Canis lupus familiaris: one gene and its partners. The protein of the gene in region 2 interacts with the protein of the main gene of each other region in a biochemical or structural test. Links are inferred from orthologs where the notes say so. Each region holds a gene or a part of one and is shown on either strand. Other genes may lie near its edges. The genes, in order: RAB5A, RBSN and RAB5C.

Region 1 (3,648 bases), on a different chromosome or scaffold from region 2:
TTATAGACAAAATTTACTGAAGTGATTGTTGGATTTGTTTACTGATTTGTGTATTTAATTACTTAATATTTGTTTTTGTGCAGGTTTCTGTATATCCAGAAAGAAAAAATTTGACACCTTGCATCCTGGAAGTTCATTTAAGAGACTGAAATTAGGGACTTCTTTCAAATTTGGACATGGCTAATCGAGGAGCAACAAGACCCAACGGGCCAAATACTGGAAATAAAATATGCCAGTTCAAACTAGTACTTCTGGGAGAGTCTGCTGTTGGCAAATCAAGCCTAGTGCTTCGTTTTGTGAAGGGCCAATTTCATGAATTTCAAGAGAGTACCATAGGGGGTGAGATTTTCTTTTTCCCTTCATTTAATTGAATTATACATTGGCAAAAATTTTGCATTTCCAGTTGCATGATGATGAATACCTAAAATAGGTCACACAGTGAAGAAAACTGTTCAGCAGACTTCAAGATTTAAAAATTATCTGGATTTTTGTGTAGGTAGCATCTTCCTACATTTTGATTTCCTGGTTACCCCCAAGATGGTTGTGTAAAAGCTGGAATACATATACAAGCATGAACAGAGTCAATGTCCCAAGTAATTGAATTTGATCTGATACCTGTTCCTTGATAATGATTAGAGACTTCTTCAAATTAATATGCATTTGTGCTAAATTATATTGGCTTTAGAATGAGTAATGAAAATAGTAAAAGTTAACCTTAAAATTCTAATTCTATATAGTTGGACTATTTATGAATTATACTGATTAGTAAAATTAATTAACTTGTATTAAACTTGCATAAGAATGCTCCTAGATTGAAGGAAGAGAAAAAGTCAATGATCAATGAAGAGGGACATGAAAGGGAAATGGGACCTGTCGGGAAAGATGAAGGAGGGGATAAGAGTGTAGAGTAAGCACTGAATACAATAATTGTGTTAGAGCTGAGATGAGGGGAAGGTAAGAGGCAGGACAGAGACAACTCATAGTGCAGTGTTGTGGGTAGAAGACAGGAAATTTGATAATTGAATTTAATCAAATTCACAACTATATAGCAGTGGGGCAGAAGAGCCTTTTCAGGGCCTTGGTTTCATCTATCATATGAAGCTTTTGAATTGGGTAGTATCAGGAAGCACAGCTTTAAGATCAGTATTTTGCAAGGGGCGTGTAATTAAACAGTACTATATTTTTAAAGGAATGCATAAGTGTATTTTAATCTCATACATATAAAAAACTCAAACTTTTGACATGCATGAGACTAATGACATGTAACAACTTCAGATCTTTTAGAAGTATAACTCTATGTTGTGCATTTGGTGTTTGTCCTCAAGTACACTTGGGAATTTTATACATAGTTCAAATCCTTCCAGTAAAATAGTTTGTAAAACTATACTATCTCTTGGCTTTGCCTGCATACGAGAAATATACTACTTACGTGGTATTTCCACGTAAATAGACTAATTTCCACTTTAATAGACTTAGAATGAGTGAGGATTATCAACCTCTTTTGTTTTTGTGTCTATCAAGTTACACAGTGTTGTGTTTTAGTGTTTTATAAGATTTATTTATTGAGAAAGAAAGCACCGGGTGGTAGGTGTGGGTAGGGGCAGTGGGAAGAGAGAATCCTCAAGCAGACTCCCCACTGTGTGTGGAGCCCCTCAGGGGGGCATGATCCCAGGATCCTGAGATCAAGACCTGAGCTGAAATCAAGGGTCAGCTCTAGCTGACTGAGCCACCCAGGCACCTGTAGTGTTTTATGTTTTTATAATGGGTGAGCATCAAAAATGTGGTCCATGATAAGGGGCTTTTGAGTTAGAAATCTAATGAACAATATATTATACATTCTTTGTGGTATCTTTGTTAATATATATGTATGTATACATACCCACAAACATATATATTTGGTTTAGTAATGAAATATTACCTCTCACGGTAATAACACTTCTCAAGTGGTTTTCAGGGGCAGCAATTCCCAAAGTACATATGCATTTGAGGCTATAATACCTGGGCCAGACAGGATTGGGCCTTGATATATGCCACCCTCCCTCTTTTCACAGTACATACTAAAATAACAAAAACACTGAAGTACTATGGTAAAGAATTGAATTTCTGGGAAACTACAGGAGCCTCAGCAGCCTAAGACTAGAATCTTCGTTTTTGTTTTGGATATTATGGTCATCCAAATTTATTTTTTCCTACTGACATTTCAAGGGAGGACATTTACAAGAAAAATTTAATCCCTGTATCAATGAGTCATACATATCTTCTGATAAGTGTATATATGCATATATAAAAATCTCCATTTCCATTTAATACAAATTAGCTTGTTTACATTTCATCAGTTTTTCAAGTTTTTTGTTCCTACGTGTAAAGCTTCCTTAATATTCTACTTGTACAGATCAAATCTAGCTTTTAAAATCAACTTTAAAAGGAATTTATATACAAATTTCTGTGTCAGTGGATGTTGACCACATATTAATATCTTTAGGAGGTATGGTGCCATTATGATTACATCCATTATGATTACAGCTGTGATTACTAGTTTTTGGTTTTGTTTGGAGACATAATTGACATAAAACATTGTGTAAAGTTAAGATGTGAGGCATTGATTTGATGTTTTTACAGTGAGTGCTGTTCTTTTATGTTCTTTGCTTACAGCTCTTCCCTCTTAGGAACTTTGATAGTATTCTGTTTAAGCATTCAAGGATTTCAAGGTTTAAGCAATTTAATGATGACCACAACGGGTCCGTAACTTGTAATATGTATTTTTGTTTTGGCTGATGTGTGGTAAGATTTATCTAAATGAACTTGACCAAATGTTTTGCATTTTATCTGTGCTTGATTTTTTTTGATTGTTTGTATCTAGTAATATTCGTTATGGTGTGAAGACTCACCTAAAATTTTCATCTGTGTTTTAATGTGGGAATCATATGCTATACTCTCGAATTTGTGTATTCTAGAACCTTACATTCATCAAGAATATCAGGGTAGTTTATGTGTTTCTTCTTAGACATGATAGCTTAATTTCAGAATCCATGTTGTCTCGCAGTGTCCTATACAATTTGCCCCTTGACCCTGTAGCACTCACAATGAGGTTAGGTAGTTAGGTTGTGGGTTAAGCATTTTGAGGAGTTCTAGCTTATCTGTAGGGCTTTAAAGTCTGCTTTGAAGTCTTAGTGTTTAAGACAAGCCCAGAAGGTTAGCAAGGAATATTAATGCTCAGGTGGTTGTCTCCTTCCTACTATCTCATCTGGAGGCTTAGTATTGCTTCAATAAATATCGAATAAATATTGGTGGGCCATCTTTCACTTAACATCTTAAGTAGCTAAAGACTTTAAAGATTTCAAGTGAGGTACTTTTGTCAAAAAAACTACTTGTTTTTAAACATAGTTAAATGCTATTTTTAAACAAGTTTGTTTAAAACAAATTTGTTTAAAAACAAATTTTTAAACAAAATGCTCTTCAGTGTAAGAGCAGGATTAGAATATGCAATGAAATAAGATGCAGGCATTCAATTTTTTTCTTTTGAAAGATAAATGTCTTATACTACAGTTTAATTTTGTATGCACTGATCGTCAAAGAAAGGTCAGACGTATGGTTTAGGTTATAGAATTATATGTAAGAGCAGTGTTACAGTGTTCCTCTTGCAGGTAC
Region 2 (3,648 bases):
TATTACTATTATTATTATTTTTTAATAATAGTCCTGGGATAGAGTCCTGCATCAGGCTCCCCACAGGGAGCTTGCTTCTCCTTCTGCCTATGTCTCTGTGTCTCTCATGAATAGTAATAATAATAATAATAATAAAAAATCTTATAAGGAAATCATTGTTTATCCATTGCACAGACAGAAAATATATTAAATTTTGTTACCATTAAACAGTTAAAGGACATGTAAAATGAGTTAGTTCAACTTCATGTGGCATTTTTGGTAACAGATCTGTTGAGATATTATTCACACATACAATTCACTATTTGAAGCATACAAATTCCATGGTTTTTAGCATATTGAGTTGTACAACCATCACCAAAATAAATTTTAGAACATTTTCATTACCCCAAAAAGATAATTATTTTGAAAGTCAGTAGATGGTACCATGATTATGTGTTTCAGAAAATTAAGTTGCATAAATCAGTATCTCTTGCTGGGCAGGTAACATCCTACATGAGAGGAAATAACCCAGTCAATGGAGCCTCTACGTGGGCTGATGTCAAACACCTGGATTCCTACCTCAGTTCCATAGTTTCTTAGCTATTTAACTCTGAATAAAATCTTTTTAAAATATTTTTGTTTTTATAAAAGATTTTGTTTATTTGACAGAGAGAGAGCACAAGCAGAGTAAGCTGTAGGCAGAGGGAGAAGCATGCTCCCCACTGAGCAGGGAGCCCGATTTGGGGCTCCAGCCCAGGGTCGTGGATCATGACCTAAGCCAAAGGCAGATGCTTAATTGACTGAGCCATCCAGGCCTCAGATTTATTTATTTTAGAAAGATAGAATAAGCATGTGAGTAGGGGGAGGGGCAGAAGGAGAGAATCTTCAAGCAAACTCCCACTGAGTGTGGAGCCCAACAAGGGGCTTCACCTCACAACCCAAGTGAGATCATTACCTGAGCAGCAACCACATAGCGGGGCGGAGCGGGGGGATAACACTTAACTGACTGAGCCATCCAGGCACCTCTCCCCACTCCACTTTTTTTTTTCTCTCAGCTAACTCTTAAAACAATGAACACAATGATGTTCAAACATTTGCTAAATGAATGAACAGAATTTCTTACCTAGTTCCTGGGGTTCCCACATGTATGGGTCAACCCCTCCATAACTGAAAGACTCGTATCCTTGTGTCCCTGATTCTACTCGGTCATCTCCTTCTCGTTTCAACAGCCTGTTCTTGGCTTTCTTAGCCTTCTGCACAAGACCTTGAAAAATGAAGCAAACACAATGAATCCATAAAATCTACTAAAAAGTCAAGAGAAATCTCAAAACGCAAGAGTTGATGAAATGACTACACTTTATATAAAAAATTTTATATATCAAGTAAATTCCAATAGTAAGTCCACAACCGCTGTATTACAAATACCACAGAGCAACCCATTCACTGGTTACTAAGTTGGTTTATGTAGCGATTATAGAGCTAAATTACTGCTCGTTGCCAAATTTAAGAGCCCAATTAAAGAATTAAAATCTATTTCAATGAGGGGACCGAGGTAACGGAAATGTTTTTTTCTAGATCTTAACTGGGGAGAGAATCACATGGGTATATACAGTTTTTAAAACCCACTTAACTGTAGATGTAAAAACTTAAGTGTAAACTATATTTCAATTAAAATAACGTTTTTTTTTAAATTAAATTCTACAGTATTAATTAATTTATTTATTTTATGCTCTCATGAGTAAATACTTGTTTACTTCCAGGAGAGAATTCAACCAAATGTGCATCCCTGGACTAGTGTTTCCCATAATGCTTAGCTGTACATAGAGTTCTTCCCCCACTCACTTACTGAATGAATGCATGTATGAGGACACTGATAAAAAGCTTCAAGAAACAGGTATAACAGCTACAACATAACACAAAAGGAACCAGACTTGGTAAGAAGAGAAAATGAATGCTTCCTGGATTGATTCTTTGCATGTACCAGGCACAAAAGAAAGTGCTTTCAAAAAATCAGGCCAACGCCTGCTCACATTATGAAGCAGGTAGTATCCCTACTTATAAATGAGGACATGACAAAAAGAGAGGAAAACCTTGCTGCACCCCAGATCACAAGAGCTTATAAGGCAGCAGGGATGCAAGTGGAAACCTTATCTGTTTAAAATAAGAACCCCAGTTCTCCCCAGCCAGCATGATTCAAAAACTATGCCTCTACAGAACAGGGTTTTTCTGCTATCTGTGCTGAGGTAAGAGGACCTGCTGTTAAAAAGGAACAACAGTCAACTTATGGGGGGAAATTCTTGATTCTAAGTTGCTTTCATTAAGGCTCTTAAATCTTAGGTGATATCTCCTTCTCCCTCTAGAATCTAGTAGTAAATATCAGACTTAATACAAAATACAATTCTTTTAGATTTAATAGATCAATACTTTACGGAGTTCCCACAATTCTGAAGTGCTCTATCATCTGAATAACATTAAAAACACTACCACAGCTTTCCAAAAACCTAGGGAAATGTCGATATGGAAGGACTGGCAGGCAGAGGAGGGAGACTGTAAAGCTTATAGATATGGCTGTGTTAGACAGTCAAGCTAATAGCCACTTTGAGATGGCTTTCTTCCACTGGAAAAATAAGGTCCACCAGGACTAATGGACACCATCTAAAATACGTTCAAGTAATCTCTCAACATGGGAGAGAAAACTGCCTGAGGTAAACAAAGGGTTAGCAGACAGGAAATTGGAGTTAGCAATCACTAATTCATTTCTGCAAACAAGACTAAACTGTGTCAAGTTAAACAGGCAGTACATGCATTTAACCACTGTATGAGGACAGAAGAATACTCTGGCAACCTTCTCAGGTGTAGCACTTCAAGAGGCGGCCAATGAAGAACAATCCCATAACAACAACAAAACACAGAGTAGAAGCCACAGTTAATTTCCAACCATCCTTTCTTATACTTACCGTACAGGCGCTAAACTAAAGATGAACCAGGGCTGAGGCCCAAATTCGCTCACCACCTACTAATGACAAGTTTATATTTTCTTTCGTAAACTGCCACCAAAACCTGATCCCAAGGTTTGCTCTTTTGGCTTTAACATTTCACTTGACAAAACCAGCAATGTCATGAAATTTTTAAGAACCGAAAGACCAAATGAAGAGATGACCTGCTTTTTAAAGGACTTTTCAAAAATCTTTGCTGTCAGTCTTTAAAACTTTACTTTCCTGATTCAGAAACACAGAAAACTCCCACACAAACAAGACTTCCTTCCTGACTAAACAAATGATCATTAGACTAAAGGAATCCTTAACTCAATTTCTTAGTTCTTTTGAGGTACAGGGAAAAGAGAGGGGAAAAACACAAGAGAATTCTTACAAATTTCTTTCACAACTCATAAAATTCCTACTCTTTTATTCTAAGTGGATTCCCATACGATTATTCCCTAAGTAACCTTAAACATTTTTCCTCTAAGAAATAAATCACCACAAGAAGCTGAAGATATTGTCTAACCTCTGTACCCACTAGCATCAAAGTCTTAGTGACGTCACAGTATGTGACTCAGTTCAGCGGACACTCAGAATGGACACTCATTAAAGATCACGGAGGCCTTTCAGCTGTCCAAGAAACCTAGATGATCAGTTTGTTTGCATTCTAGCTGCAGGATAAGACATGATT
Region 3 (4,299 bases), on a different chromosome or scaffold from region 2:
GGTGAAGCAGAAGCCGCCTCTGCTGGCTCCCATTACCCATAACCCTGCCCAGAGAGACCCCTGAGTCCAGTCACTTTTACTTTCATTTTCTACCCATCATGGCTTTCAGGTTCCCAGAAATTAATGGTACAGATGTCAGCCAATTGTCAGGCCCTGAAGAGTACTGAGCTGGGACTCCTAACTGCCATGGTCCCCAGAGGCAGAGGAGATGGGGATCCAGGATGATGGCAGGACAGAGTGGGGGTGGGGAAGTAAATGGAAGCAGAGGGGCATCAAGGATGAGGGATGCTTAAGGGTCTCTGCACTGGGGCCTCTGCTTGCTCACTTTGCATGCTCATTCCTTAAACAGACCCAAGAAGGGACCACTCTTAGGGAAGATGAGGCACATCAAATCCCAAATCCCAAACCTCAACTCCACCACTTTCTAACTGGATGATCTAAGGCTAGCTACTTAAATTCCTTCAGCCTCATCTCTAAAACGGAGATACAAATCCCACTATCTCCCAGGACTCTTGTGAGGAACAGGTGTGAAAATATAATATTGTTTCCTGTGAGAAACATGTGTGAAAAAACTGCAACTTTGGCTGCCCAGGTGGGTCAGTCAGGTTCAGCCTCTGCCTTGGCTCAGGTCGTGATCCCGGGGTCCTGGCATAGAGTCCCACACCAGGCTCTCTGCTCTGAGGGGAGCCTGCTTCTCCCTGTCTCTGCCTCCCCCACCCTGCCCCGCCTCTCATGAATAAATACAATCTTTAAAAGAAAAAAACTGCAACTTTAAAGTGATTTCTAAAAATCAGTTGTTACCACCTCTCTGTTGTATGAAGGCAGGAAAAGGCCAACTAGTTGGAAGAGGCAAGAGAGGAGAGGCTTCTGTCTCACACAGAGCCCTCCCTCTTTCTGCCAAGTAACATCAGAGCTCTGCTTGGACTCTACAATCTCTGGATGCCAGAAGTGGCAGCCTAACTACCTAACTACCGGGGCAATGATGCCTTCCATGTCTCTCTGAAAACAAGAGCTTCTCCTTCAAAAAACCTGTTTTAGAATCCTAGCTGGGAGAGCATGTCCAGACAAAGACGGTCCCCTCAGAAGGCTGGCAGCCTCATCCTGGGACTCCCAAAGAGTTCCAGAAACCACAGCCCACTACCGAGGAGGTAAGTCTGGTCAGAGACCAGTGGCCAGTGAGCAGAGAGGCTTCTCTGGTCTGTCCCTCAGAGGCACAGGCTGACCAGATTAGAGAAACTAAGCTGGCCGCAGAAGTCTCCAACGACTTTCCAAAGAAGACCACACAGATAGAGAGCTTGTGATCCAACCACTGATCCTAATAAGGTAGGCTTTCTTGTTGTCCAATAAAAAATGAAATGAGTACAACCCAGGTCTAGCTCAAAAGTTTGTAGGAGTTGGACCCTGGTGACTGTCCACAAGAAGTCAAAAAGATCCCAAGACAAAAAATGTTTAGCACCTGTAAGGACAGTAAAGATGGCCCGAAACACTGAAGAGCTACTGAAATTCCCAAAGGCTGCATGGCCTCTCCTCCCTCCCTTGGCTGTAGATAGCAAGGGTCAGTCATGGCCTCAAAGAGTCAGGCTACTCTCATTAAGGTATAGTCTCTGGCCTGTACTTTGGCCACATAACAAAACCTGCGAACCTGGTCTGAGACAACAGCCATTTCACACACCTAAGTCCCAAGCAACAGACAAGGATCAGATGTCAGCACAGGCTGCCTCTTGGAAAGGCTGGAGGGGGGGCAGGGGGCGCGGGCGGGGCGGATGTCAGCACTTTCCAGCATACATGAGAATTCCTTGGGCTACAAAAATTAACACATTAAGAACCCAGAGGTGCCACTGTGGTCTCAATTCACTTCTCTGTAATCTATAATCTGTTCAAGCCTCCCGGAAGGGACTGGAGAGAGGCCCTGGGACTAGAAGTGGCAGAGACCTGTTGATCAAGGAGAGGGGTATGTGTGTCTGAGAGTGGGAATGAGATAGGCCAGGACCCTTCACTTCCACAGTCCTTATTTCTGGTCTTTCCCCTATTCCCTAAAGACCAGCAGACAGCAGTCCCAGGAGGAGCAGTCCCTCTGAAGCAGCTTGGAAACCACTCACGTGCTCTGGGAGGACAGGGCTGAGCCTGGAGCAAGGGGGAGGGGGAGAGGAGGGGAGAGAGAAGATAATGAATGGGCAGATCCACCATGATCTGTGATCTGTAGCTAGGATTAAGCAAACCTCAGCTAAATTTTTCAGAGGCAGGAAGAGAGATAGATACACTCAGAGAGCACAACTAGAGAACAACATAACCAGAGGACAGAGTTGGGGTGGAGGGGGCAAGATAAGGAGGCAACAGCTCATTCCTAAAAAGTGGCCTAGACTTTAAATCCTGCTGGGATCCTGGCTGGCTCCCTGGGCTTGAGGAAAGAGAGGAAGTGAGGAGTTGTGGGAGTCTGTGTGTGTGGAAGGCTCTCACCCAGGACCCCTCCGCCCCCACCCCGCCCCAGGAAATCGAGATAAAATTTCTCTAGGGCTGGAGGAGACAACTGTTTTTGTGGGACGGTTGGGGGGGGGGGGTGCGAGGAAAACGGCGACAGACAGCACTCCTCGCCGCCTCTATAGAGAAGGAAGACCGACTCCTTCACACCTAGCAAAGATTCCTCCAGTTCTGGGAGCAGAGAGAGCAGAATCTGTGGTCTCTGCCTCCCACAACTGGACTGGACAGGCCAGAGGAGAACCCTGGCGGCTTCCCAAGGCTCATAAAGGGCAGGTAAGGGAAGGAAAGGAGGGCCCCCCCTTTGGCCCGACGCCTGGGGAGCCCCTGAAGAGGGGGCTACGGGTCGGGGGAGGGGTCAGTATCCCCCTAAGCCGGGGTTGGGCGGGAGGAAGTGTTGCCCCGAACGGCCTCAACGCGAGCGAGACACTAGGCCCCGGGACAGGCACACTCACGGCGTCTCCGGGGCGGCGGCGTTACTTGGGGCCGGGGCTCGGACAGGCTCCGCTCCTCTCCCCCCGGCGGTGTCCCAGGCTCCGGCCTCCACTTCCGCCTTTCAGCCGCTCCGGATCCGGATCTCCACCTCAGACCCGCCCCTCAATACCAGATGACTGACAAGGTGGAGAGACCAATGGGAGGCACTCTTGGCCGACTCACCGGCGACGCCTTTGGGGGGCAAGGGAGAGGCGGGAGAGCGCGCGCGAGGGACGGCGGGACTTGTAGTTCTCAGCGCTGGGAGGAGCCGGTGGCCGCCTGGGACTTAGGCTTAGGGTGGAGCCGGCTGCCGGCGAGGCGGAGCTCGGCCGGGAACTTCTTAAAGCCAGGGCTGCCAACAGCGTCACCCTGGGTTCCAGGAGCCCCGAGGGGAGGCGGGTGGTGGGGCGCTGGAAGAGGGCAGAAGGCTGTGTGTGCAGAATTGGTTAAGGAAAAACATGGTGTGAATGAATGCACAGGAGGCCGCAGTCCTGAACACTGGCTAAACCCGAGAAGCCCCTGTCTGCACTTTCTCAGGCCAAGTCAGCTCCGGGAGCTCGACTATTGGGGACATTCTGCGATGGGGAAGGTGATGGAAGTGCTAATAGGAAGGGTTCTCGAGGTGTGGAGAGCTCCTGCCACTTGTCAGTCATAAACCAGGACCCTCCTCCTTTGGCCGGACACCAAGACTCCAGGATCACCTCTACCTCTGCCTCCCACACCTCCAGCCAGAATCAGCTCATGTCTCTGTTGCCAGAAACAGAGCCGGACCACTTCTGCTTTGACTCTCTCTCCATCCATAAACACAGATTAGAACGACTTCTGTTTGCCTCCCCCACCGTGACCTCCGTATGGATCAGGACTTTCTTTCTTTCTTTCTTTCTTTCTTTCTTTCTTTCTTTCTTTCTTTCTTTCTTTCTTTCTTTCTTTCTTTCTTTCTTTCTTTCTTTCTTTCTTTCTTCTTTCTTTCTTTCTTTCTTTCTTTCTTTCTTTCTTCTTTCTTCTTTCTTTCTTTCTTTCTTTTCTTTCTTTCTTTTTTTCTTTCTTTCTTTTTTTTTTTCTTTCCTCAATGTGGATTAGGACCACTTCTTGTCTCCGCCCACCCCCATCCCCCAACACAGACCGGTATCTCCTCTGCCTTTGTGTCCCACTCCCTGGAACAGTACTCAAAACCTGTATGCAATCAAAGCTCAGGCCAGAGAGAGCTGTAGGCGTTGCTCCTGTGACATGGGTGAACACCAATCATATTTTGGAGCCTGAGCTGGAGAATCAACCTGTTTGGGACAGCCTGCCATAAAACTGCCCACACCTAGTTCCATCTGGTCACCAGGGTGCTTCTTTCTAACAATA

What was found.
Region 1: the proteins of RBSN (region 2) and RAB5A form a complex in vitro, tested with the Homo sapiens proteins (3 studies listed by BioGRID, with this or other methods). The link is inferred for Canis lupus familiaris from reciprocal best matches to the Homo sapiens genes RBSN and RAB5A.
Region 3: the proteins of RBSN (region 2) and RAB5C form a complex in vitro, tested with the Homo sapiens proteins (2 studies listed by BioGRID and IntAct, with this or other methods). The link is inferred for Canis lupus familiaris from reciprocal best matches to the Homo sapiens genes RBSN and RAB5C.

Annotation. Positions count from the first base shown.
Region 1 is NC_049244.1:23,836,271-23,839,918, reverse strand, and holds part of RAB5A (ras-related protein Rab-5A), read left to right. Parts: intron 1-83; 5' UTR 84-176; coding exon 177-339; intron 340-3,648. UniProt on the Homo sapiens protein: The small GTPases Rab are key regulators of intracellular membrane trafficking, from the formation of transport vesicles to their fusion with membranes.
Region 2 is NC_049241.1:5,251,046-5,254,693, forward strand, and holds part of RBSN (rabenosyn-5), read right to left. Parts: intron 1,244-3,648; coding exon 1,103-1,243; intron 1-1,102. UniProt on the Homo sapiens protein: Rab4/Rab5 effector protein acting in early endocytic membrane fusion and membrane trafficking of recycling endosomes. Required for endosome fusion either homotypically or with clathrin coated vesicles.
Region 3 is NC_049230.1:20,627,398-20,631,696, reverse strand, and holds the start of RAB5C (ras-related protein Rab-5C), read right to left. Parts: upstream 2,944-4,299; 5' UTR 2,931-2,943; intron 1-2,930. UniProt on the Homo sapiens protein: The small GTPases Rab are key regulators of intracellular membrane trafficking, from the formation of transport vesicles to their fusion with membranes.